4 linked regions of the Oryctolagus cuniculus genome follow. The protein of the gene in region 2 purifies or fractionates together with the protein of the main gene of each other region. This does not show direct contact. Links are inferred from orthologs where the notes say so. Each region holds a gene or a part of one and is shown on either strand. Other genes may lie near its edges.

Region 1 (6,206 bases), on a different chromosome or scaffold from region 2:
TTTCTCTCTCTGCCTCTGCCTCTCTGTAACTGTCTTTCATGTAAACCAATCTTTAAAAAAATTATTTAATTATTTGAAAGGCAGACAGACATTGAAAGAGGGAGAGACTGGGAGAGATCTTCCATCGGCTGGTTCACTCCCCAAATGGCTATAATAAGCCAGGTCTGGCCAGGCTGAAACCAGGAGTCAGGAACTCCATCCTGGTCTCCCACATGGGTGTGAGGCGCCTACGCACTTGGATTATCTTCTGCTGCCTTCCCAGATGCATTAGCAGGAAGCTGGACTGGAAGTGGAGCAGCCAAGACTTGAATTAGCACTCCAATAAGGGATGCTGGTGATGCAAGCAGTGGCTTAACCCACTGTACCATAGTGCCAGCCGATGCCCTTAATGGAGATGACCTTAATCTGTGTTCTTTTTTAAGTTCTTCAAAATCATCTAGAAAATCTTTTATTTTTCTCTCTTACACTGATGCCATCTGAAAGGCATGGTAGTATCAAAGCCAGAAGAGAGACCCAGATTCATAAGAAAGGTCTCACCTTGTTTGTTTGTTACACCATAATGTTTATACTCAAATATCAGCTTTTTACAAAACTGTACTTGGGATCCAGCACTGTGGTGCAGTGGGTTAAAGCCCTGGCCTACACTGCCAGCATCCCATGTGGGCGCTGGTTCAAGTACTGGCTTTTCCATTTCTGATCTAGCTCCCTGATAATGTGCCTGGGAAAGCAATGAAGGATAGCCCAAGTCCTTGGGCCCCTGCACCCACCTGGAAGACCCGGAAGAAGTTCCTGGCTCCTGGCTTCAGATGGGCTCAGCTCTGGCCATCATGGTCATTCGGGGAGTGAACCAACGGATAGAAGACCTCTCTCTGTTTCTACCTCTGTCTTTCAAATAAATAAAATAAATCTTTAAAAACTAAAGGCAGAGACACAGAGAAGCAGACAGAGGTCTTCCATCTGCTGATTTACTCCCAAGTGCCCACAACCGCTAAGTCACAGCCAGGAGCTTTGAACGCCATTTGGGTGGGTCTCCCATGTGGGTGGTAGGGGCCCCAATTCTTGAACCATCACCTGCTGCTTCCCAGGGTGCACATCAGCAGGAACTGGATTGGAAACCAAGTACTTGGGACTCAAATCAGGTGCTCTGATATGGGATGCAGGTGTTCTAAGCAGCGACTTAACCGCTAGGTGAATGTCCCCCTAAAATAGCTTGTAACCAACCTTTTCACAAAGCAAAATGAGACACTCCTCCCACCCCATAGTTGAGCAAATGATTAGACTTAAGATATTCCGGAATATTAAAGTATGCCCCAACTCCAACTATCACTGTTTTTATTATTTTGTGATATGACAAGAATTGTTTTAATGACGCTTACATTGTAAATCCTTTCCTTTCCTTTTCTATTAACGTCGAACTTGTGAGTACATATTAATCAGACTAATTATGCTGAAGATCATAAATATTAGCTGAAATAAATGGGAGTCATACCATAGCTCCAGGTATACTCTGATGTTGCTGCAGTTTGAAAAATTTACTTATGAAATCCTGTTCGGCCAAACACAGGGGCTCCAGTTCACTGAGTACCTGTTCAAAGATCTGAAGAAAACCAAAATGATCCTGTAATGAAAGAACTGTAGCAAATGCTTAATATCAGTAACCTCTATCCATGGATCTATAAACTTAATAGAACTCCAAAGACAAACTTCCAAAATTGACAAAATAACAAGATTACAGGACATACCTAAAGTAAAACAGTTACATTCACTTCAGATCTGGAAAGAAGGATATGCAGATATACTTTTAAAACTTATTTATAACACAGAGAACAGAAAAGCTATTATATCCTCTTGATTCATAGTTGCTCAAAGAATTTAGATGAGATATAAGCACTTTATGATTTACCACAAATACAGGTTAATAAGGCTTTTGTTACTGAATTGATACTTCACATTTTAGCTGCCATGTGACTAGTACTTTTTTTTAAAGATTTGCTTCAGAATTTGCAAGTAAGACATGATTATTAAAGGCAGCCAAAAGCACCAAAATTTTCAAATACTGAAGCAATCACAAAATGCAGTTATAAGAAAACTGACGCTAATGTTTAAAAACCACTTGTTGCTCTACTTTACCTTATCAAACTTGGTTCTGTCAGCAACATCGAGGTCAGAGGCAGACATGTTCCCCATATCCAACAGAGATGATGACTGAGATCTGCGATTCCCTGAACTCTGAACGCTGAGTTTATTTAGACTAGAAGTAGATCCAGTTAACTTCCCGGAACTTCCATGAAGACCTAAGAGATAATAAGACTGAAAGTCGTAATCTCCAGGAATAAACGATCCAGAGTAAAATTCAGTGCTATCTTCCACTGTTTTGGTGTTCCAGTGCACAAGGCCACCATATGGGACAGGCTGTACTGTGTACTTACCTTTCATTAACTCTGTGTCCTACTGCTGAGCATTCTGTAAAGGACAAAACTACACAGATCCACAGAATGGCACTGAAAGGGCCTCTACAGACCATGTATCTCTGCCCCACCGTAAAGGTGCGTGGTGGTATCTCTAGACTGAAGGCGGGAGGGTTTCCTTCCCAGTCAGAAGACAGAAATACAGCTGATGGGCACGGAGCACCATGGAAACCTACTAACATGACTGCTCTACCTGCCACTAAAAATCCCATATCCCAGTGTTACTTGCCTCTGTGTCAAAACAACAAGTCTATCAATACTTGATCATTTTGCTCTATACAAAAAAGTCAATTATATATGATTTGATTTAATATGTTCCTAAACCCAGAACCTCTGCATTTCCAGTAAGTGAATTAACCATAGCTCTTTTAAAACTAAATAACATGAAGAGAAAAGGGCAGCCTGAAAACCTGCTATACTTCAAATACAGTGGAAATGCCATGTACACGTCACTACCCATCAGCCCGGGCACTGGTGTTTAAGCAGGAAAAATGAGAACACAGAGCTGGACAATACCCCATGTACACCAAGGAATTAAAGGATTAAATTTTTAGAAGAAAATGTGATTGCTTTATTCAAAATGAAGTAACAACAATACATGAAATAGTTTTAAAACATTTTTCTTGAATATTTGTCAGTTAACATACCATTTACTAGTGGTCAGAAGGTTCAAATGAAGACTAATAAGGACTTGAGACAAATTTTGGCTTTATTATGCAAGATCTGACCATATATATAAGACATTTTATAATTTCTAGACACAGCCTGAAAACAGAAGTATAATGATTAAGCCTTTTCGTGAGCTTCTGACACACAGTTCTACTGGTCGTATACTTGTACCAATACTGCACATTTCTCGGATGTAGCCGTATCACTACCATCACATTGTTGTTGACTTTTCACCAATACCTGGCAATTCAGAGCAACTGATGTTTCTGGGGTTAACTTCTTTCAAGACAAGTAACTAATTTCTAGACAGTAAACAGACATGCATGGAGAACACCTACTAATACACTAAGCATACTCACTCTCTGTTTCCTGTTTGCCAGCACTTTCTTTTCGAGGCAGTGTAGCTGTGATGGATTAGGTTGCAAGCATCAAAGACAAAGACAAGTTAATAAACTGCAATTCGCACAAACCATGCACAAGAGGAAGTTAAAGCTCTAGTTTAAAAGACACATGCAAAGAACCATGAGCATCAGGTAAGGAGAGGTACAAACACACGCTGAGTTGGTCACTACTGTTTGAGAAACTGTATGAGAGAAAACGCTTCATTGGTCTTTTAATGTACTGCTTTTACTCAAATATTCAGGGAAAATATATTTGTTGCCCTCTCTCCCATATTTTTAGATGACTTTTTTTTTTTAAAAGTATGTGAAGCTGTTTCACTTACATTTAAAAGAATGAATTTGAAAGTTTGGGTTTTCTGAGAAAACATCGGTTAAATAATTTAATTCAAAGGAAACTTATTGGAATGAAGTTATTATAGATTTAGACATTAACAAACTGGTATTCCCTGAAAGCCCCTGCAAGGAAGTTCTATTACACTAAATGATTTTATATAACATCCGATTAAAAATGACACAACTGGGGCTTTAAGACCATTTTAAAATTAAAACTATCATGTTAACAACCAGAGGATGGATGGATAGAAGAGTAAAGCTAATGGAACAGATTTAATACAGGAATTTCAACTCTCTTAGGGTCATTTAGCATTTCTTTTATCTTAAGACTTCTATATATACAATATTTATTAGATCAATTTTAGAATTCACCTTAAGACACATTCTAAACTCAAATTAGAAGTTAATGTGAAAAGCGAAGAAAGAAATCATAGAATGAAACAAAATTGAAGCATGTAACTATAATCTAAAGACATCTTAAAACCAGGGTGATGTGTCAACTGACACTATCCTTGCCAAACTTCAAGGCAAAAGCCGGACGACACGTCGGGCCCTTGACAAAGCAGTGATGAGCGTATCTTCCTGGCCTTGGCTGCCTGAGGGGCACATGAGAGGCTGGACATTAAAGGGGCCAACATGGCAAACACGATCATTCTGGAGGGAGCACAGCAGAACACTTTCTGGTGGCTTGTGGTGTCACGGATTTATGTTGATCAGTTTCACTGCACAGCCTGACACATTCTTTCATACAAGCCTCATTTCTTCAGTGGCCAAACAAGAACACAGAGCTAGTCATAATGCCAGTTAACTATGATTTGGGGCTCATGAAAAGCTTATGTCTTTTATCAGCAGCAAGTGAAAATACACAGGAAAGATGTCAAATGTCTTTATGTACCCCTATCTGAGCATCAGCTTCATAGAGGGCAAGGGCTGTGCTCACTGCTGCATTCCCCGTACTACAACAGTGCCTATCACGTGACAGATAACTAGTAGATGACCGGCAAACATTGACGGAGGCAATCGTCCAGCCAGCCCTGAATTCTACCTTGCATTCAAGACTCCCTTTGGAATCAGCCAGATTTCTTAGTTTAGTGGAGAAATGATGATAACATGATTTTGGCCCACCATTTTAAAGATTTCTGAAATCTTAGACAAACAGGAGGGAAAGCAGCAATTATGTAAAGGTATATATCAAGAGGCTAAAATCTCATATTAACATGTTTATTATCTTAACTGTACAAAGAAGAAAATGGTGATTTTAAAATAATTACTAAATTTTCTTTTTCTGCCATCTCATTATGCACATTTGTGGAATACAAAGGAAAAAACATCAAAACAGCAATCCCGGGTCGGGCTGGGGTGGGTCGTTTCTATATCTCTGGGGCCATCAAAGCAAATCCACCAAAAAACACAATAATCAACATAAAGATCTTCTCACAAAGATGATTTCCTGGCATTGTTAGCACACTACATTTTGAATCATTTGAACTAAGTAGATGTTAAAGATTTGAGTCAAGAGTTGTTGAAAAACAGAGGATTATACCCCTCAGAGGATTATACCCTCAATGACTGCATGTTTGGCCACACAGTTCCCCTTTGCGAGAGGCAGTCAATCTGACTAATCTTATAAGCATCTGGAAGCGAGGATTTTTCAGAGCAAGTAAAAAACAAAATAAATTTAATTACTTAATTTTTATTTCCTAAGAAGTTATCTTTCTAAAATTTCAGTTTTTATTTTAATTATTACTATTAAAAACAATTTGAATTGCTGAAAAAATATCTTTGAAAAAATTTACATTCCACCTTATATGGAACTTCTCAAGTCATCTGTATTTACCTTGACATTTATTTTTAAAATGCTAACAAGTTTGAGCTTCAAAAATGAACATTTTTATCATCTGCATTGTTTGTTTATTTTTTCCTCATAACTGATATTAAAATAACTGACACTCTAATTTGGTAATTTTTTATGCCACCTATTATCAAACATTATTCTGCCTGTTCCTATTTAATAGGTGCACAGAAAAGTTAAAATTTTAACATGTTCAAAACTATAAAAATGCCTTCTAAACCTGTATTTTGTGAATTAAAAATACTTTTAACAAGTTAAAAACTTCTCAAGCGGCTAGAAAAGAAAAAATTACATTTTAGATTAATGCAATAACATTAAAATACTATTATAACTGATTTAAGTTATATTTTTATTATTGAATTTATCTTAAAATGCATTTTATACTTTAAAAGCTATTATGATACTAGGATTAATGCTTTACTAAGCATATACTGGGAAAGATTTCCTTGTGTCTCCAGTTTCCATATGCTGAAGGAGAATTCT
Region 2 (6,792 bases):
GCCCCAGAAAGAACTTTTTAAGGAATCAAGGCAAAATTCACATAACATAAAATGAACAATTTAAAAATATGCAATGAAGTGGCATTTAGAAAATTGATAGTATTGTGCAACTGTCACCTTTATCTAGTCCAAAAACATTTTCATCACCTCACAGTCATAAGCAGTCACTCCTTGTTTCCCCTTCATCCTGCCCCCTGCTAACCACTAACCTGCATTTGTCTCTGTAGATTTGCCCGTTTCATATAAATGGAATCTTATAGTATGTGACCTTCTGTGTATGACTTCTTTCTTGTGGCATAACATTTTTGAAGTTGTTGCTCACTATTAAAAATGCCACAGCAAAGTGTAAGTTAAGAAAAAGATTTTCTAGGGGCTGGCGCTGTGGTGCAGCAGGTTAACAACATGGCCTGAAGCACTGGCATCCTATATGGGCACTGGTTCGGGACCTGGCTGCTCCACTTCCAATCCAGCTCTCTGCTGTGGCTTGAAAAAGCAGTACAAGATGACCCAAGTCCTTGGGCCCCTGCACTCATGTGGGAGACCTGGAAGAGGCCCCTGATTCCTGGCTTTGGATCAGCGCAGCTTCAGTGGATGGAAGACCTCTTTCTCTCTCTCTCTCTCTTTTTCTGCCCCTCTCTCTGTGTAACCCTGACTTTCAAATAAATAAATAAATCTTAAAAAAAAGAAAAAGATATTCTGTAATCCCACCCACCATTGATGACAGCTGTTTATAGTCTGATGAGAGTTGCTATCCCCATTGTCTCCCTATAAATAAATTTATACTACTCACATCTTTTGCCTCAACTTTTTTAAAATTTAATACTAATATGAAACATCTTTCCATGTCAAAGCAGACAGATCTCTTCATTCTATTTAATGGATTATATATTGTTTCATTATTTGGTTATTATCTGGGTTGTTCAATAAACCTTTAGATGGATATTCTCTCCCCATGCCCATTTTTTGCTAAGTAAAATAGTTTGCATCCTAGCCTGCTCAATGGGAGTTACTTTGAAATCATAATACTGGAAAACCTAGGAACAGCTCCAGTTTTTCTGCAATCAGTTGAGTACACTGGGAAATTCATGCAGCAAAGCTGAATAGACTTTGAGGTTGTTTCTACTGTCAGATTCTTTGATCCTTGGGATTAATATTAAAACCATGGCAGTGCTAAGGACATAGAGGGTCCCTAGGACTGAATTACCAGTCCTGACTTTAGCTCTCATTTTATTAAAGACTAGCTCTAGGCCTTTGGAAAGGTACTTACCTCTGGACTTCGGTCTCCTCTTTTGTGAACTGAGGTAAATGGCTAGATGGTCACAGGTGTGGAGGAGGACTTCAGTTGGGATCATTGCCCAGTTTACAGTGATTCCCTTTCTGGACAAACAGCTCAGATTCACAAGCTTGAGAATCTCCAAGTAGCCAGGTTGTGTTATGAGACTTTCTTCACTCAACCGTATCTGATTGATCCTATAGAAGCCATTTGTCAACCCCATCAAAATACTTCTCTAGGATTTTTGAATTTGAACCACAGAAAGTATGAGCAGTTCCTCTTTGTGGGAGCGTTTGAGAAGTGAAACTTGATAGCCATTGGCACCACTATTATCTTCAGTGAGGTTCTACTGTGGGGAAGAAAAGAATGGGATTCCCTGTGCTATGGATTAGTGAGAAAGTATCCACCTGAAAACTGGGCAACTTCTAAATGCAATAGGGTATCCTGGATTGTATGTAGAAACAAAAAAGCATTAGTGCTAAGTTGATAATTCAAGCGTAAGGGTTAATTTTATCTGTCAACTTGATTGGTCAGAGGGGTGCCCAGATACTTGGTTAAACTCTGTAGTGTGTGTGTGGGGGGTGGTGGTAGTGGTATGTGTGTGTTTCTGAAGAGATGAACATTTGCCTTGATTGTCCTTCCCAGTGTGGCAGGACCTCATCCAATTGAAGGCTGGAATAACACAAAACGTAGAGGAAGGGATAATTTGCTCTCTGTACCTGGTGGTCTTGGGCTGGAATTTTGGTCTTCTCTTTTCTTCATATTTGTTCTTAGCTAGAATTGACACCGTTGACTGCCCTGTGTCTCCAGCTTGCCAGTTGTCAATCTTGAGACTTCTCTTATTCTATCCAATGCAGAAAAGCAGTGGACATTGCTGTAACATTATAAAGCAAACAGAAAACCTGCAGCTACGCGCAAAGGATTACAGTTGAGACACATGAATACAATGGACTACCAAAGCATAGGAAGAAATGCAGGCGAGAGACTTTCTTCAGAAAAGTAAGGCATTCAAAACAGCCCATGTATCCTGGGGAATTTAGAAAGCCACACCCATGGAGCCAGTGTTGTGCTGGAGTGGGTTAAGCAGCTACATACAGTGCTGGCATCCCTTATGGGTACGGGTTGATTCAAGTCGCAGATGCTCTACTTCCTGCTAATGCGCCTCAGGGGACAAAGCAGAGGATGGCTCAAATGCTTGGCTTCCTGCCAACCACGTAGGAGACCTGAAGAAAGCTCCTGGCTCCTGTTGGGGCCATTTGAGAAGTGAACCAGGGGATGGAAGATCTCTCTCTGTGTGTCTCTCCCTCTCTCTCTGTAATTCTGCTTTTCAATTAAAGAAAGAAAAAAAGGCACACACACACCTAAGGTAGGATACTTGCTCAGAAAGGTCCTCCGAAGACTCTTTTTCCTATGGGTCACTTCCAAACATATAAACAGCACATGGGGCTAATGTAGAGTCATAGGAATTCTGGTGGAGTATTAAAGGAGTGTCTCAACTCAGCCAGCTGGCAAAGAGTGAGAAAGGTGTTTGTATGTTTGTTTGTTTTAGCTTCCAGCATCAAGGAAATCTCTTTCGAAATCCTAGCTGAATGTAGCTAAAGAAACTGGAACCATACATGGCAAGGAAAATAGTCTTTGGAAAAATGGTTTAGAAAATTCACGAAACATGGCCGGCACCGCGGCTCACTAGGCTAATCCTCTGCCTTGTGGCGCCGGCACACTGGGTTCTAGTCCCAGTCGGGGCGCCGGATTCTGTCCCGGTTGCCCCTTTTCCAGGCCAGCTCTCTGTTGTGGCCAGGGAGTGCAGTGGAGGATGGCCCAAGTGCTTGGGCCCTGCACCGCATGGGAGACCAGGAGAAGCACCTGGCTCCTGCCATCGGATCAGCATGGTGCACCGGCCATTGGAGGGTGAATCAGCGGCAAAGGAAGACCTTTCTCTCTGTGTCTCTCTCTCACTGTCCATTCTGCCTGTCAATAAAATAAAATAAAGAAAGTTCACTAAACAAATGGACACCTGTAACCTTCACCAATTAGGAATGGTAAATTCTGAAAAAAGAGAAGAATCTGATTTTCAGAGCTACCATATTATACTATTCAAATATTCAGTTTTAACAAAATCACAAAACATACGAAGAAACAGAATAGTATGGCCTATCAAGGTGATCAACATGTACATTTTGGGAGTCCTGGAAGGAGAAGAGAGTGAGAGCTGCATGGAGAGATTACGTGAAGAAGTATGACTAAAAGCTTCCCAAATTCGATGAAAGGCATGAATCTGTACATCCAAAAATTTCGACTCTAACTACAGTAAACTCACAGAAATATACAAGACACGTTATAATCAAACTGTTGAAAGACAATGAAAAGAGAATCTTAACAGCAGCAAGGGAAGAAACTTGTCACGTGCAAGGGAATCTCAAGATTAACAGCCAGTTTCTCATCAGAGACCGTGAAGGCCAGAAGGCATGAAAGGACAAAGTACTAAAAGAAAAAGAAAACAAAACTATGGCCTAAGAATTCTATATATTATGGGGATATAGATATCTAACTTATGTTCTGTCCTTCAAAAATGGAGAAAGACATTCCAGATAAAGAGAGATCTTGTTAATATGGAACTTCGCTGTAAGAAGTGTTAGAGGGGGCGGTGCTGTGGCGTAGCAGGTAAAGCTGCCGCCTGCGGTGCTGGCATCCCATATGGGCTCTAGTTTGAGTCCCAGCTGCTCCAATTCTGATCCAGCTATGGCCTTGGAAAGCAGTGGAAGATGGCCCTAGTGCTTGGGCCCCTGTACCCATGTGTGAGACCCAGAAGAATCCTCTGATTCTGACAGAACTGATCAGCTCAGTTCTGTCCATTGCAGCCATTTGGGGAGTGAACAGCAGATGGAAGACTTCTCTTTCTTTGCCTCTGCCTCTCTGTAATTCTACCTTTCAAATAAATAAAGTAAATCTTTTGGAAAAAAAAAAAAACCAACATTAATGTATTTTTTATTTGCAAGTATACTTTTTGTTTCCAGTGTGCTCCAAAAGATAAATGCAAAAGAATAACGAATCTGTGTTGTTGACACACAAAGTGAAAAATTTTAACTGTATGATGATGTGATTGAAAACTATCATTTTTATTAAAAAAACCTGTATGTGTATACTTGTATGTGTATATGTGTACATAATATGTGATATAAAATTAATACACACACATGCCCATATGGGCATAGAATATCTTTGGTAAGGTACAGAAGGAAGCTGATAAATTGTTTCTCTTATAATTATGAGGACAGGGTAGACATAATCTCACCAATTAATTCTTGTTCTTCACCACAAATCTGCCTTTTCTTTCACTTCTCCATTTCCACAAAGGCACTATCACTTATCCAGTTCTGTCAGCAAGATGGGAATCAGGCTTGTTCTTTCTCTTTTATTCACCTCCCATTAAGTAAATCACCAAATTCTGCTGATCTGACCTCCCAAACATCTCACCCTAGTCTATTTCATTGCAGAAGAGGCTGACTGTCCCCTAAGATTCATTGTTCCTTTCCTCCTTACTCACAGGACTCCTAATTTTTGGCAGGAACTGTAGTAACCTAGAATAGCCATTTTATTCCCTAACTTCCCTTGCAACCAGATGGGGCCATGTGACTACATTCTATCCAAGCAGCTGTGACTTGACTTCTCATTCTCCTGTCCATTATCATATCGAATATCATTTGCTTGCTTGACATTCTGTGCAACTGGCATTTTCTTTTTATGAATTATGCGGCCAAAGGTTTTTAAGGTCATGTTTACAGGTTCCTAACCAGATGAATCATATCAAAGATTCTGTTCATTGACCATTTTTTTCTCCATCCATTTTTATATTTTAGAATTCTGATTGCTGTTTTTGTAAAGATAATGCAGATTCACTGTGAAGGTGCCAGAAAAGGAGGAGATAATGGTAGCTTAGGACAAGGAAAAGAAATAAAAATTAGCAAAATCACCCGCAATGCTACCATTAACCCTTGTTATAAGAGAACATTGCTCGACGGCGCCACGGCTCACTAGGCTAATCCTCCGCCTTGCAGCGCCGGCACACCGGGTTCTAGTCCCAGTCGGGGCACCGGATTCTGTCCCGGTTGCCCCTCTTCCAGGCCAGCTCTCTGCTGTGGCCAGGGAGTGCAGTGGAGGATGGCCCAAGTACTTGGGCCCTGACCCCATGGGAGACCAGGATAAGTACCTGGCTCCTGGCTTTGGATCAGCGTGGTGCGCCGGCCGCAGCGCGCCGGCCGTGGCGGCCATTGGAGGATGAACCAACGGCAAAAGGAAGACCTTTCTCTCTGTCTCTCTCTCTCACTGTCCACTCTGCCTGTCAAAAAAAAAACCAAAAAACAAAAAACAAAAAAACAACATTGCTCAATTTCAGGCATGGAAAGCCAAGACATTGTGGAATAAAAATAAAATGTCCTACATGAAGGATCCTGTGAGAGAGACCCCAGTGGAAAGAAGTGGCCATCAAAGGATGTACTTTTCTCTGAAGGGAGGAGAGAGCCTCTACTTTGCTTATGGCCTTGTCTAAATGCTGATGGAGATTGTGGATTCAAAAGGCTTCCATAGCCTACGCAGCTCATGTCAAGAGCCTCAGGTGGTCACTGATGTCATACATATGTGTGTTAATTGTTAAATTAACAACAGGAGTCACTGTGCACTAATTACCCATGCAGGACCTCTGTTCTCAGTGAGTTGTATTATGAGAATTAATTGTAAAACTTGTTCTAAAACAGTTTTTTGTGGGGGTGTGTGTGTGCAAATTGTTGAAATCTTTACTTAGTGTGGAGTTGGTCTTCTGTGTATAAAGTTAATTGAAAATGAATCTTAATGGAGAATGAGACTGGGAATGGGAGAGGGAGGAGAAGGGGGGGTGGGAGTAGGGGTGGGATGGCAGATATGGTGAGAAGAATCACTAGATTCCATCTTGTACTGCTTTCCCAGGCCATAGCAGAAAGCTGGATTGGAAGTGGAGCAGCTGGGTCTCGAACCGGCGCACATATGGGATGCCAGCGCTTCAAGCTAGGGTGTTAACCCACTGCACCACAGCACCAGCTCCACTTTTTATTTTATATTTTTTAAAGATTTGTTTTTATTTATTTGAAAGGCAGAATGACAGAGAGGGAGACAGAGAGATTGATTAGATGTCTTCCATCTGCTGGTTCATTTCCCCACATGGCTGCAATAGCCAGAGCTGAGCCAGGCTGAAGCCAGTAGCCTGGAACTCCATCAGGGTCTCCACATGAGTGACAGGGGCCCAAGCAGTTGGGTCATCTTCTGCTGCCTTCCTTCCTAGAGAGCTGGATCAGAAGTGGAGCAGCCTGGGCTTGAACCAGTACTCATATTACAGGTATTACAGGCGGCAGCATAACCCACTGTGTCACAATGCCAGCCCCTGTCTACTTTGAGATAAAAAAATAAGTAAATAAATTTTCTTAAAAATAGAAAAAGACTTCCTGCCTTAGAGGATCCTTTCTTTTCTTACCAACTCACCTATACTCAAC
Region 3 (6,206 bases), on a different chromosome or scaffold from region 2:
CAGCTGAGCCTGAAGAACACGGCGCTCAAGTCCATCATCGCGCTGATAGTCCCCGGGGAGGCCCTGCTGCTGGCGGACGTGTGCGGGGGGCTGCTGCCCCTGCAGGCCTTCGAGCGCGGCACCTACAAGGTGACACTGCTGCTGAGCTACCTGGTCTTCCACTCCTCCCTGGTGCAGGGCCTGCCCAGCTCGTCCTCCTGCAACCCACTGCTCAGTAAGCCCCCCCCAGCCTCGGGGCCTCGCCCGGCTGCTCCCCGGGAGCCTGGGAGCCGGGAGGCCGGGCCTGGCCCCTGACATCCTGCCCCCGCCACCTCCAGCTCACTACTTCACCGTCCTGCTGCTGCTGCTCTTCGTCAGCACCGCGGAGACCGTGCTGCTCGCCGGGCTGCTGGCCAGGGGCAACCTCAGGGCCCAGCCCTGCCCCAGCCCCGCCCCAGCAGGGCCACCACGGGAGCGTGGGAACCCAGGGCCTGGTCCTGAAGGTGGGTGGCTGGTGAGCAGTGGGGCCGGGGCTCGGGTCCGCGGTGTGTCCAGCGGCTCCCTGCGTTCACTCCGCTGGCTCTGCCGTCCCTGGTCCCCCCCCCCCCCCGGTTAGAGCAGGCCCGGAGCAGGGAGTCGCCTTAGCCTCCCTAAGGGTGACCTCAAGCCCTGAGGTCAGCCGTGCCTCGCAGACTCTCAGAGGGGGGTCCTCAGCTGCGGGGGGGGGGGGGGGGGGGGCGGGCGGGGGCTAGAACGGGCCAGCCCCAGGCTGTGAGAAGTCGCGACTCTGAGGGAGAACACGCGCATGCTCTGTGCTGTGGGGCTCTGAACAGCAGCTCCTGCCCCTGCCTCTCCCCACAGGCGCCCCCGGAGGAGGAAAGGGGTCAGGGAGAAGCTGGGCCGAGGCGGCCGACCGCATCTTCTTCTTCGCGTACGTGGCCAGCGCGCTGTGCAGCCAGCTCATCTTTGCTGCCATCTGGATCTGGGCAACGTGCGAGTCTGACCCACCCCCCGGGATGGCCGTCCCCCACGGCGGGCAGCCCAGCTTCTAGCAGGACGCGGGGTGGGTTCCTGAGGCCGGGGGAAGCTCTCTGGAGAGAGGGGAGGAGGACCCTGGAGGACCCCGTCCACCCTGAGCTCCCCCGTGTTAGCATACAAGTAGTGTGAAATAAACCCGCCCCCCAGTGCACGTGCGGCGCGAGGCTCTGTCTTCATTCCACTCAGCGGTTTACTCCCAGCCCGAGCAGGCGGGGCCCTTGTGCCCTCGACCCCCCGTGACTGCTGAACTTCTCACCACTGCCCACCACTCAGCCCACACGCTGGGCCCTGGGCGGCAGCTCTGGATGCTTCTGGCAGTGCGCTGGCCCCGAGGGGAGGGACAGTGAGCAGCCCTGGGAGGTGGAACGTCTCCAGGCCTCAGGACGGGAGGCCTGCGCCAAATCCAAGACAGCTGGGCGGCCCGACTGCTCTCTCTCCAGGGTGCCCGGTCCTCTGAGCCCTGCCCCTACTTCTGGGCTGCAGGGGGAGTTTGTCACCAGCTCTGACCAGGCCAGGAGGGCTCTGAGCTCCTGCCCTGGGAACACACAGGCAGCTGGGGCCCCTCTTCTCGCCCCTTTCCTGTGTCAGAAGCCATCACGTGGTCCTTGCGCGCTCCGGTGGGGATCACAGAACTCGAGCGTGAAGGGACCCAGCGTTCTGGGCGAGGGCTGGTTTGGGCCTCACAGAAGCGGAAATCAGGGCTTAGAGGGCGCAGTGACGAGCTCCCGTCTGGGGCAGGGAGGGAGGTGTCTGTCCCAAAGGACTTCAGACTCACCCTGCCCCGAGTCAAGTGAACACTGGTTTATCTGTCCAATGACACCAGGCAGGGCGTGGCAGGCTCAGGCGGAGGTGTCAAAGAGGCGATCGATCATGTCGCCCACCTGATCCACGCGGTACTTGATGTACTTCTCGATGTTCTTGGTGAAGGGCACGCTGCCGTACCTGAGCAGGTGCCGGGGTCAGGGAGCGGAGGGGCCTACACCCGCCCCAGCTCCACCCACAGCCCAAGGCACTGTGATGGGGCACCCCTGCGTACTGTCCCACGGCCCAGGACACCACTCCCTGAGGAAGGGGGAGCACAGAGCCCGGCGGGGCGGGGCTCACCTGTGCAGAAAGACCCCGTAGGTCTCCTTGACCATGTCTTTCTGCGCCTGGCGGATCTTGTCCCTCTGCTCTGTGTCTGGGATAGCCCAGGCCTTCTGGATCTTGCACAGCTCTTCAAGGCCGTCGTTGAAGCCCTGGCCACCGCCGACGGGGAAAGGAGAGACGTGCAGAGGCAACGCTTGGGCCCGTGCTGCTCGGGCCTGTGCAGCAGCAGCCGCCGCGAGAGGGAGAGGACCCCCGACTCACCTTAAAACGCTCCTTGATCATCTGCCGCTCCTTGTCGCGGAGCTGGGGAGCCGGGAGAGACGGCAGAGGAGGCTTGGCTCAGAGCAAGGCCGCCCTGCTCTGCTCCTTGCCAGACCCCCGGGCCCCGCCCTCTCTCCCGCTGCCCACGGCCACAGGCACCCTTGCTCTGTGATCTGCGGGGCGCACGGCTGTTTCTCCCCAGAGACGGGACAAAAAGCTCCACGTTCCTGCCCAGCCCAGGCCTCTGCCCACCTTGACTCCTGGCTGGAGCACAGGTAGATTCTTGTCTGCGATGTAATCGATCACCTTTATCCAACTGCCAGACAGGGAGAGAAGCGTGAGGACAGCGCGGACCACAGGGCTGCCTCGTCCCGAGCGCCAGGGCTGCTTGTTTTTGTTCTGAATCCCTCGATCTATTTGGGGAGGGGGCGGTGAACTGATCTGGGTCACCACTAAGCGGAATAACCGAGATCTTTCCCTCGGGAACAGAAAGTGTTTTAGCTGCTCATTCTAAAAAGTCAAATGCAGGACACCCCCAGCCATCAACAGATGGAAAAAACGCCATCCCTGGGCCGCCCATGGAAGTCATGGCCAATCAAGACAGAGAATCGGAAGAAACAGACCACCGGAGGAAAGAGGCCAGAGGACCAGGGAGCGCGCCAGGCCTGGCCAGGCTCAAGGGCTCCTGCCACCTTGCTGCCTCCGGGGCCAGGCCTGACCCGCATCTCTGTCAGTTCTTCACCTCGGCTGAGCCTCGACCACCATCTGAGGGGCCAGCCGCGGGGGCCGGCAGCAGGGATCAGTGGTGTGATTCCAGGCAGAGGGCTGGGGTCACGGAGGAGCAGTGCCCAGCACCCCAGGCCTGAGAAGGGAGGGGGCGCCGGGCCGGGGCTGCACCTGCGCTGGTAGATCTGGATCTGCTGCTGGATGTGCTCGCGGTAGGAGCGCTCGGCGGTCTTCTGGGTCACGGCCACCAGCTGCATCAGCTCGGACCTGGCAGGGTGGGGAAGAGCGGAGGACAGAGGCGGCCGGCCTCGGCGTGCTGCTCCATCTCCCAGAGCTCTGGGCAGCAGCCCTCACGCGGCGCATCAGGGCGGAGGCGAGTCAAGCCCCTCCCCACCTCACGCCAGAGGCCGGCCCTGGGAGACCTGCCCCTGGGAGATGGGGAGACCGGGCGGAGAGAGGCAGACCCAACCTGGGGGACAGGGCGGAGAGGCAGCCCCAACCTGGGGGACCCGCCCCTGGAAGACCAGGCAGTGAGAGGCAGACCCAACCTGGGGGACCGGGTGGTAAGTGCGCAGACCCGCCCCTGGGAGACAGGGAGACCAGGTGGTGAGAGGCAGCCCCGCCTCTGGGGGACCTGCCCCTGGGAGATGGGGAGACCGGGCAGTGAGAGGCAGCCCCAACCTGGGGGACAGGACGGAGAGAGGCAGACCTCCCCTGGGGGACTGGATGGTAAGCACGCAGACCCGCCCCTGGGAGATGGGGAGACCCGGCAGTGAGAGGCAGCCCCAACCTGGGGGACAGGGCGGAGAGAGGCAGACCTCCGCTGGGGGACCCGCCCCTGGGAGACCGGGCAGTGAGAGGCAGACTGCCCCTGGGGGACCCGCCCCTGGGAGACGGGGAGACCGGGCAGTGAGAGGCAGACCGCCCCGCGGCACCCACTTCTCCAGGGACTTTAGGATGTAGTTGTAGTTGTTGTGCAGGAAGATGGCACTCAGAGCCGGGTCCTCGTACACCTTGGACTTGCTCAGCAGGTTCAGCTGCAGGTTGCCCAGGACTTTACCTGCGTGGAGGAGGAAGGGCCACGGTCTCAGGACTCCCCAACCAAGCCTTACCCATCTTCCCTTGCGCCTCCTGACTCCAGACTCCAGGGGCCTCGAGAGCCCTTGCCCAGCTTCCCCTGGTCTCTGACCGGAGCACAGGTGGCCACTGCAAAGGTCGGGGGCTCAGGAGCGCACCAGAGGCCAGGCAGAGGCCAGGAGGGCGGGCTCTGGGGAGAACTCACAGACGTAGGTGCTCAGCAGCCGCCTGCTGAATTCGGAGCTGTAGCTGGTGGCAGACGAGCTGGTCTCTGGGGGAGGAGAAGCCCTGTTAGTGGGGCGGTGGCCGAGACCCTCGAGGGCCCTCCCTCAGCCCAAGGAGCACCCTGGGAGTGCTGGGCAAGTCCCTTGGGTTTCCCTGGGCAGACAGAACCCAGAGGCGTCCCAGCAGAGCGGGGCGCCTGAGCTCCAGGGCCGCCCCCAGCCCCAGGAAGCACTGTGCCGGGACTCCTGGGACCCAGGGCCTCCCCTCTGCCACGATGCACGGTGTGGTTAAGGAGCTGGTCCTGTGTGGGAAGGCTGGCAGGACAGCCCCCAGCCGTGACCCCTGCTGGGTGGGATCGACAAAGCCCCCTTTTCCCACCGGCCAACAACTAAGCCTTAGAATGGGCTTCCCACAGCTCCTCCAGCTTCTCCCCACATTTCCCACAATGCCCTCTGCCAGGCCCTTCTGCTGCCCCGACAGACTGGGAGGCCAAGGGGGCGGGAGGCATAGGGAAGGGCTGCTAGGGTGAAGGGCAGCTGCAGGGCGCCAGGGGCAGCAGGCTACGGCCTGGGTAGGCTCGGAGACAGCACACAGGGAGCTGAGTGCACCCCCACCCGCAACAGGTCCTCAGAGTCAGTCCCCAGGCTGCGGAGCCGCACTGCTTACCTCGGGGGTCTAAAGGAATATTGTATGTGTCCCCAAGAACTACGGAGAGGCAGTGCACACAGGGGACAGAGCGAGAGACAGCAGGGAGAAAGATGCAAGTGCAAAAACAGGTTAGAGACGCGGCCCGCGATCCTGCGTCAGAAAACTTCTCCCCACGACAGCCGACAGACAGCACGACACGCCAGGCTGGGCCCGCTGAAGGCCAGGGAACATGCTGGAAAGCAGGCCTGGGAGAGCCATGGCGGGAGGTGCCCCCTTGGCTCCTTGTCCCCAGAGGGGGTCAGGAGAGCTCAAAGTTTGGAATGCCCCAGAGAGGTGTTTCCCCTGACACGCTGCCCTCCCAAACTCCAGTTCCAGGGTTCCAGGGTGGTGGCCTGAGGGGGGACACCCAGCTGGCCCCGAGGAGCCAGCCCGTGGAGGGTCAGCTGTACAAGACTGACCAGGAGGACAGGCAGACTGGAGAGGCTCCTTGAAGCCACCAGTGCCCACCCCAGGCTGAAGACGGCCACAGGGGTGAGGCTGGGGCTGGGAGTCTGTTCACCAAGGGCACAAGCCAGCCTCGCTGTGGACACTCAGCCTTGGATGGCCTCCGGGCTGGGGCCTCCACAGGCCACTCTCAGACCCAGGCCACAGGCTGGAGGAGTTTCCTCGTTGGGCCCTGCCTTCAGCCAGAGCAGGCTGTGCCTCCTGGGTCCTACCCCACAGTCCCAGGCAAGAGGAGTGGGACAGGCAGCCCCGCAGGGAGGGCCGCGTACCTTGGGAGGCCAGCATGGCGCCCGCCGTCTCCTGGAAGTCCAGCAGCTGCTGCAGGAAGAGGATGGCCTGGGCGGGGAGGACGCAGGTCCAGGAGGGAGGTCAGGGGCAGCACCGGGCTGACTGCCTCCCAGGGCGAGGCAAGGCCAGGAGCCACCCAGGGTCAAGGGCGGCTGGAAGCTTTCACCCTCTGGGCCCTGTCTGCTGGAGACGCCAGGCCCTTCCCCGTCCATCCTGCCACCCGCCAGGGGTCCCCCACCCAGCAACCGGCCCCCAGCCCTCTCCTGTGTCCTCCCTCCCCCGGGCCCTCGCGGGCACCTACATTGCTCGTGAGCTCGTGCACAGTGCCGTCCTTGGGCATGTTGTACTCCTTGTCGGGGTCATTCTGTGGA
Region 4 (5,731 bases), on a different chromosome or scaffold from region 2:
CAGAGTGGACAGAGACAGAGAGAGAAAGGTCTTCCTTTGCCGTTGGTTCACCCTCCAATGGCTGCCACTGCAGCCGGCGCACCGTGCTGATCCGAAGGCAGGAGCCAGGATCCAGGTGCTTTTCCTGGTCTCCCATGGGGTGCAGGGCCCAAGCACCTGGGCCATCCTCCACTGCACTCCCTGGCCACAGCAGAGAGCTGGCCTGGAAGAGGGGCAACCTGGACAGAATCCGGCGCCCCAACCGGGACTAGAACCCGGTATGCCGGCGCCGCAAGGTGGAGGATTAGCCTATTGAGCCACGGTGCCGGCTTGGACACAGTTTCTTACTGAGCTCAGTGAAGACACATGCACGCCGCCACCAGACCAAAGGCAGATGCACGGGGCAGCTCGGTGATGGTGACTAAGGGATTCCGTGTCAAGAATAAGCAGAATTTAGGGCTGGGTTTTTGTGCAGCAGGTTCACCGGTGGCCAGGATGCCACATCAGAGCTTCTTGGCTTCTGACCCAGCTTCCAGCCGATGCACCTGGGAAGGGGGCGGATGATGGCCCAGGTGCATGGGCCCTTACACTCATGGAGGAGACCAGGATGGAGTTCCTGACTCCTGGCTTCATCCTGGTCCAGCCCTGGCTGCTGCAGCCATTTGGGGAGTAAACCAAGGGACGAGCTCGCTGTCTCATCCTCACTCTCTGATGTTCTGCCTTTCAAATCAATCAACCAGTCTTTACAATAAAAAAGGAATAAGCAAATCTACAAGTCCTAAAACGCATCCCACATACACTTTTATCAAAATTTACACTCTCGAAAGCACCAGCACCGTGCTCGTCTTCAGGGGTGCCGGGGAGGTGAGTCTGTCATCTGCAGGACAAGCTGAGGTGCAATGGGTGCCCTGCATGCTGGCCAGGCTGCATGGCCAGCTGGTGGCCGGAAACAGATCTGACGCTGCAGCAACCCCAGAGAACATCACAGTGAGACACAGCCTTGCTCCACCTTCACCGAGGAGCTGAGGTGCCAACTGGGGGCCAGAGTTCCAGAGTGCATGTCCCAGACGGGTGTGAGACACAGAGTGTGCATCTCAGGTGAGTGTGAGACCAGAGTGTGCGACACAGAGTGTGCGTCTCAGGAGGGCATGAGACCCAGTGTGTGTGATACAGGCAGGTGTGAGACCCAGAGTGCACGTCCCCGGCGGGTGTGTGACACAGAGTGTGTGAGACACAGAGTGTGTGTCTCAGGAGAGTATGAGACACAGAGTGTGTGTGACACAGAGTGCATGTCTCAGGTGGGTGTGAGACAGAGTGTGTGTGACACAGAGTGCATGTCTCAGGTGGGTGTGAGACACAGAGTGTGTGTGTGACACAGAGTGCATGTCTCAGGTGGGTGTGAGACACAGAGTGTGTGTGTGACACAGAGTGCATGTCTCAGGTGGGTGTGTGACAGAGTATGTGACCCAGGCAGGTGTGAGACCCACACGGTGTATCACAGGAGGGTGTGAGACCAGAGTGTGCGTCTCGGGGGAGTGTGAGACCCAGAGCTGGATGCAGTCCCACCCTGCACCTCGTGCACACTCCCAGCAGCACTGTGTTCACAGTCTTGGAAAGCAAAAGGGGACAACTGTGTGGCCTCACAGCCACCAGGACACACTCTCCACGCCCGACGCTCAGAAGAGGCCTGTGAAACTGACACCAGCAAACATGGATCTGTAGTGTAACTTTGCTTTTAATGCGTTTCTGAGGGTGTGGGCGAGAAGGTGCTGAGTGGCAGGCTGGCGACCCACGTGGCTACTTGAGGAGCTTTGCCACGTTCAGGCTGGGCACCATGATCTCCTTGAAGATGGGCACGTAGTTGGGGTTGGCCTGCGTGGGGCCCTGCTCCAGCGTTTCTATGATGGTCTGCTTCATGTCTCGGCTAGCGTCCCCCCGCATGGCCAGGAGAGCGCCAATGTGGTCATCTCTGTAGGGGAGAAGATGTCAGCCCACACGTGCCCCTCACCGTCTCCGGCCCCCACGGGTGGTGTGGACAGCTGTGAGCAGCAGGCGCCCGTCCCCCACTGTGCTCCTCCCCACCTCCATGGCAGACAGCTTTCGAATGCTGCTTCTCCAAGTCTCGGTTTAAAAGCTGCCAGTGTAAAACGGAGATCCCAGAGGACCCAGGATCCTGGCTCTTCCCACCTCGCAGAGCGTAGCAGTAAGAGAAGAAGCTGAGGCCTTGGAGGTACCCACTGAGCTCCACAACACAACATGGCCCCTTGGGAAGGCAACAGGTGCCTGGGACAGGATCACAAAGGCTCGGTCCATGGGCGGGGGCGTGGACCTGCCCACTCCCTTAGCCTGACACTGGGGACTCTGAATATTGTGTCCATGGGAATAGCATGGCATGAGACCCACACGAGGTTCCTACAGTCACTGGCTCAGCCCACTCCCATGGCCCATGCTGCTGTGACACGCCCATAGCTTCTGCCCACTCAGGCTGGCGTGGCTGAGCCACATGCAGGTGTGTGGACCTGGGCCAAGGGTCCTGCCAGCAGGACGCAGCAGGGGCCTGCTCAGCCGGCCCCAAAACTTGGTCTGCTGTGCCTTTGCCAGCCCCCTCCACCAGCAGGCCCAGCCTTCACCTCTGGATCCCGAGAGCCAGGAGGTGGTGCACGTGCTCCGGCAGGCGCCGTGCCGCGCGTACCTGATGTCGGGGTACTTGCTGACCAGGGTCGACACCTCCAAGTAGAGCAGGGACGGGTCAGTCAGCTTGATCACTTCAGCAACGGCCACGATGGTGTCACAATGTCCATCCACGTCCTCACCGAACCCCTGGACAGCAGCGGGGACCCGGAGAGTGGCCTCAGCTCCATCAGCCCAGCTGCAGGTGCAGGTGCTGTTCTGGCCAGCACCGCACCTTCCTCTTGTGTGAAAATCCCTCACGATCCACCCGAGAGCCAGGGCTTTCCTTGCAGGGCCGGGGGCTGGGGTGAGGGGTGCCTGTCACACCTGTGCCTGGCTTCAGTCAGGTCAGAGGTTCGTGACCAGCCTGGCACAGAAACAAGATGGGACGGGGTGGGGGGCAGGAGGGGGGGTCGGGGAAGGCACTCAAAGAGCAGGGCCCCTGAGGTAATTCAGTCACTCTCCAACCACAGGGCTGGGCAGGATCTGAACCCAGACCACCTGGGTCACTCCCGACACTCACAGAAGCCAGCTTCCGGAACAGGAAACGCAGCTGCTCCGCCTCCCTCACCATCTTCTCAGCGCCCTCTTTGCGCTCCTCGGGGCTGCGGAAGGAGATCCGCTTCTGCATGACGGCCCGCAGGTACTCCACCACCACGCGCCGGTGCGCCTCCGCCGTCATCCTCTGCAGGGAAGCACAGTCAGCCGGACGCCCAGCCGGCCAGCTGTCCCGCCTGCTCCTGGGCGCCACCGCGGGCCGGTGTAGTGTGAGTACCACTATGCCAAATAAGCACAGCGGCAGTTTTGTTACCAACCCGTGGACACCTCTAACGGGGTCACTGCAAGCACAGAGGCCCAGGGCTGAGCGGGGAGACCTCCAGGGTACCCAGCGTGTGGACGCCGATGCTCAGAACAAAGAGCCCAGGTTTGACGTCATCGTTATGGGCACGAGAAAGCTGCCATGCACGCCAGCCCAGCACCAGCTTTATGAAACCTGCTTCAGGTCTCCTGACCCCCTCCTCAGCCCCCCGCCCCGCAACTGTCTCTGAGCTATGACCCCTCGGCAGAGCGGCTGGACGGTGTGGGGCTTGACAGGACAGAGGTGTGTGCAGGGGCACGAGCCTGCTGTTCTTTGGGGTTGATGACAGCCACACCTCAAGCACTGGCAGGACCTCTGGGGGAAGAGGAGCCCCAAGCCCGAGTACTGGGGAGGTTTCCAGAGGAGAAGCCAAGGGGGAAGGCCAGGAAGGCGGCGCAGGAACACAAGTGGGCATGACTGAGCCCATCGGGACACACAGGTGTTGGTCAGCCGTCCCTCAACTGTGGATCGACAATGTGACAGCTGACATCACATTGGGATCCCAGCTGCGTCCACTCTGTTGTGGCCTGAGCAAGCGTGAGAAGGCTGCCCTGACATGAACTGAGACCCACGCCAACCGCTGTCCTGAGGGTGCGGCTTCATAGCAAAGCAAGGAGACCCCAGGGCCCTGAAGAAGACCGACAGCACCGGCAGCTGCTGGCAGCCGGAAGAGGCACCCTTCCCTTAGCTCCCAGAATCCCCTGTCCAACATGAGCTCAAACCCCATCTCAACGGACAGCATAGCGCAAGACAGAAGCGGCCCAGACACCAGTCAACGCATCTAGTGTCCAGATACGGAAGGTCCAAAATACAAAAGCAAAAAGATACAAAACTGACCAGGTAAGCCTAAAATTAAACAACCATAGTTTTCAGGAAGAGAAACACGATTGTTGAGACGTGAACTAACGGAAGCAGGGCTCTGATTCAGGCCAGGTCATCCCGGCAGTCGGCTTAATCTTCAGGCTCCTGGGGAAGGAAGATTCCCCAAGACACACCGATAGGACCGTAAAAAATGGGGTGAATTTGACTCCACTAAAATCAAGGGTGTCGTTCCTCAGGGGAAGCTATGCTAGAAGCTGTCTCGGTCCACTCAGCTGCCATGAAAAAGGACGCAGACCAGGGCTCCGTGGCAGAGACCTGTGCCACACTGTGCAGGTGGAATCCAAGACCCAGGGGTGGGCAGGGCTGGCCCCTACCAAGGCCTCTCCTAGGTGTGCAGACGCTGTCCTCTCCCTGTGTCCTGAGGGCCCTGTGCACGTCTGCACCCTAACCTCCTCTTCTCACACGGACACCAGAGCCCAGCACCACCCACACAGTCCTCTGTAAAGTCACGCCCTGAGACACCAGGCCAGGACTCTAGACAGGAATTCTGGGACGGGGGCCAGCCCAGGACAGAGACACACAAGCAGGAGGAGCAAGATGCGACTCAGAGCCAACCAGGACCCCAACCTACAAGAGACTACAAACCCAGATGGCCCAGCACAAATGCGGGACTGTGACGGAGCTCAGGATAGAGGGCTCCAGGTGAACCCAGTAGGGAGAGGGGGTGACTGCGGAACAAGATGCTGATGGGGGAGGGGCCTTCGCTCGATGCTGGGGGTGCGCAGCCTGGCCCAACCCCTCTGGATGCAGGGCAGACTCCCCAAGCCCACCGCCCGGCCTCAGCTGGGAGAGGGCCGAGGACCAGGGATGGGGGACGGCCAGGAAGTCGGCCTCTGGCCACAACCTCCTCGGCTCAGGGAGGTGTGGACACGCACGAGGGCCACTGTGAGTGTATGGACACGGCTCTGGGCTTGCGGCTAAGGAGGACACACAGCAGACAAGTAGCCACGGAGGAAGTCAGAACCCCGGGAAGGGGCACTGGCCACACCGCGTTCTCCATCTGGTGTTTCCCTGGCCTTCTGTTGACTGCACTTCTAGGCTAGCTGACAGCGAAACACCACCCACACCAGCAAACAGACGGCCAAAGCCCCCTCAGGGCAGAGGGGGCACTACACCCACTCAGAAACCTCAGGGACTTCCCACACCGTGGAGGAGCAGGGGCTTCCAGTCCCCAGACGACGTGGGAAGAGGGGTCCGCCCTACGTCAGCACATCAGATCGCCACACGCGCGAGGAGAAAGCCAGCGAGAGACACTCGGAGGAAAATCACAGGCCATGTCCCACACGCACATCTGGGTGAAAGAGAATCCCCAACAAAACACGAGGAGCAGACCCACCAAGC

What was found. Proteins that work in one complex are often made in the same cells at the same time.
Region 1: the proteins of EXOC6 (region 2) and EXOC1 purify together in Homo sapiens (affinity purification with mass spectrometry; 4 studies listed by BioGRID and IntAct, counting the BioPlex papers as one, with this or other methods). This does not show direct contact. The link is inferred for Oryctolagus cuniculus from reciprocal best matches to the Homo sapiens genes EXOC6 and EXOC1.
Region 3: the proteins of EXOC6 (region 2) and EXOC7 purify together in Homo sapiens (affinity purification with mass spectrometry; 4 studies listed by BioGRID and IntAct, counting the BioPlex papers as one, with this or other methods). This does not show direct contact. The link is inferred for Oryctolagus cuniculus from reciprocal best matches to the Homo sapiens genes EXOC6 and EXOC7.
Region 4: the proteins of EXOC6 (region 2) and EXOC3 purify together in Homo sapiens (affinity purification with mass spectrometry; 6 studies listed by BioGRID and IntAct, counting the BioPlex papers as one, with this or other methods). This does not show direct contact. The link is inferred for Oryctolagus cuniculus from reciprocal best matches to the Homo sapiens genes EXOC6 and EXOC3.

Annotation. Positions count from the first base shown.
Region 1 is NC_091439.1:108,598,083-108,604,288, forward strand, and holds part of EXOC1 (exocyst complex component 1), read right to left. Parts: intron 3,542-6,206; coding exon 3,497-3,541; intron 2,295-3,496; coding exon 2,131-2,294; intron 1,598-2,130; coding exon 1,490-1,597; intron 1-1,489.
Region 2 is NC_091446.1:37,857,117-37,863,908, reverse strand, and holds the start of EXOC6 (exocyst complex component 6), read left to right. Parts: upstream 1-2,130; 5' UTR 2,131-2,210; coding exon 2,211-2,272; intron 2,273-6,792. UniProt on the Homo sapiens protein: Component of the exocyst complex involved in the docking of exocytic vesicles with fusion sites on the plasma membrane.
Region 3 is NC_091448.1:4,604,321-4,610,526, reverse strand, and holds the end of EXOC7 (exocyst complex component 7), read right to left. Parts: intron 6,200-6,206; coding exon 6,137-6,199; intron 5,884-6,136; coding exon 5,817-5,883; intron 5,101-5,816; coding exon 5,062-5,100; intron 4,442-5,061; coding exon 4,376-4,441; intron 4,154-4,375; coding exon 4,033-4,153; intron 3,361-4,032; coding exon 3,265-3,360; intron 2,781-3,264; exon of another isoform or gene 2,684-2,780; coding exon 2,620-2,683; intron 2,410-2,619; coding exon 2,368-2,409; intron 2,256-2,367; coding exon 2,122-2,255; intron 1,960-2,121; coding exon 1,857-1,959; 3' UTR 1,190-1,856; downstream 1-1,189. Other genes in the region: ligand-gated cation channel ZACN, read left to right, coding at 4-214, 318-482, 841-1,031. UniProt on the Homo sapiens protein: Component of the exocyst complex involved in the docking of exocytic vesicles with fusion sites on the plasma membrane.
Region 4 is NC_091445.1:97,391,856-97,397,586, forward strand, and holds the end of EXOC3 (exocyst complex component 3), read right to left. Parts: intron 3,335-5,731; coding exon 3,173-3,334; intron 2,800-3,172; coding exon 2,672-2,799; intron 1,949-2,671; coding exon 1,777-1,948; 3' UTR 1,700-1,776; downstream 1-1,699. UniProt on the Homo sapiens protein: Component of the exocyst complex involved in the docking of exocytic vesicles with fusion sites on the plasma membrane.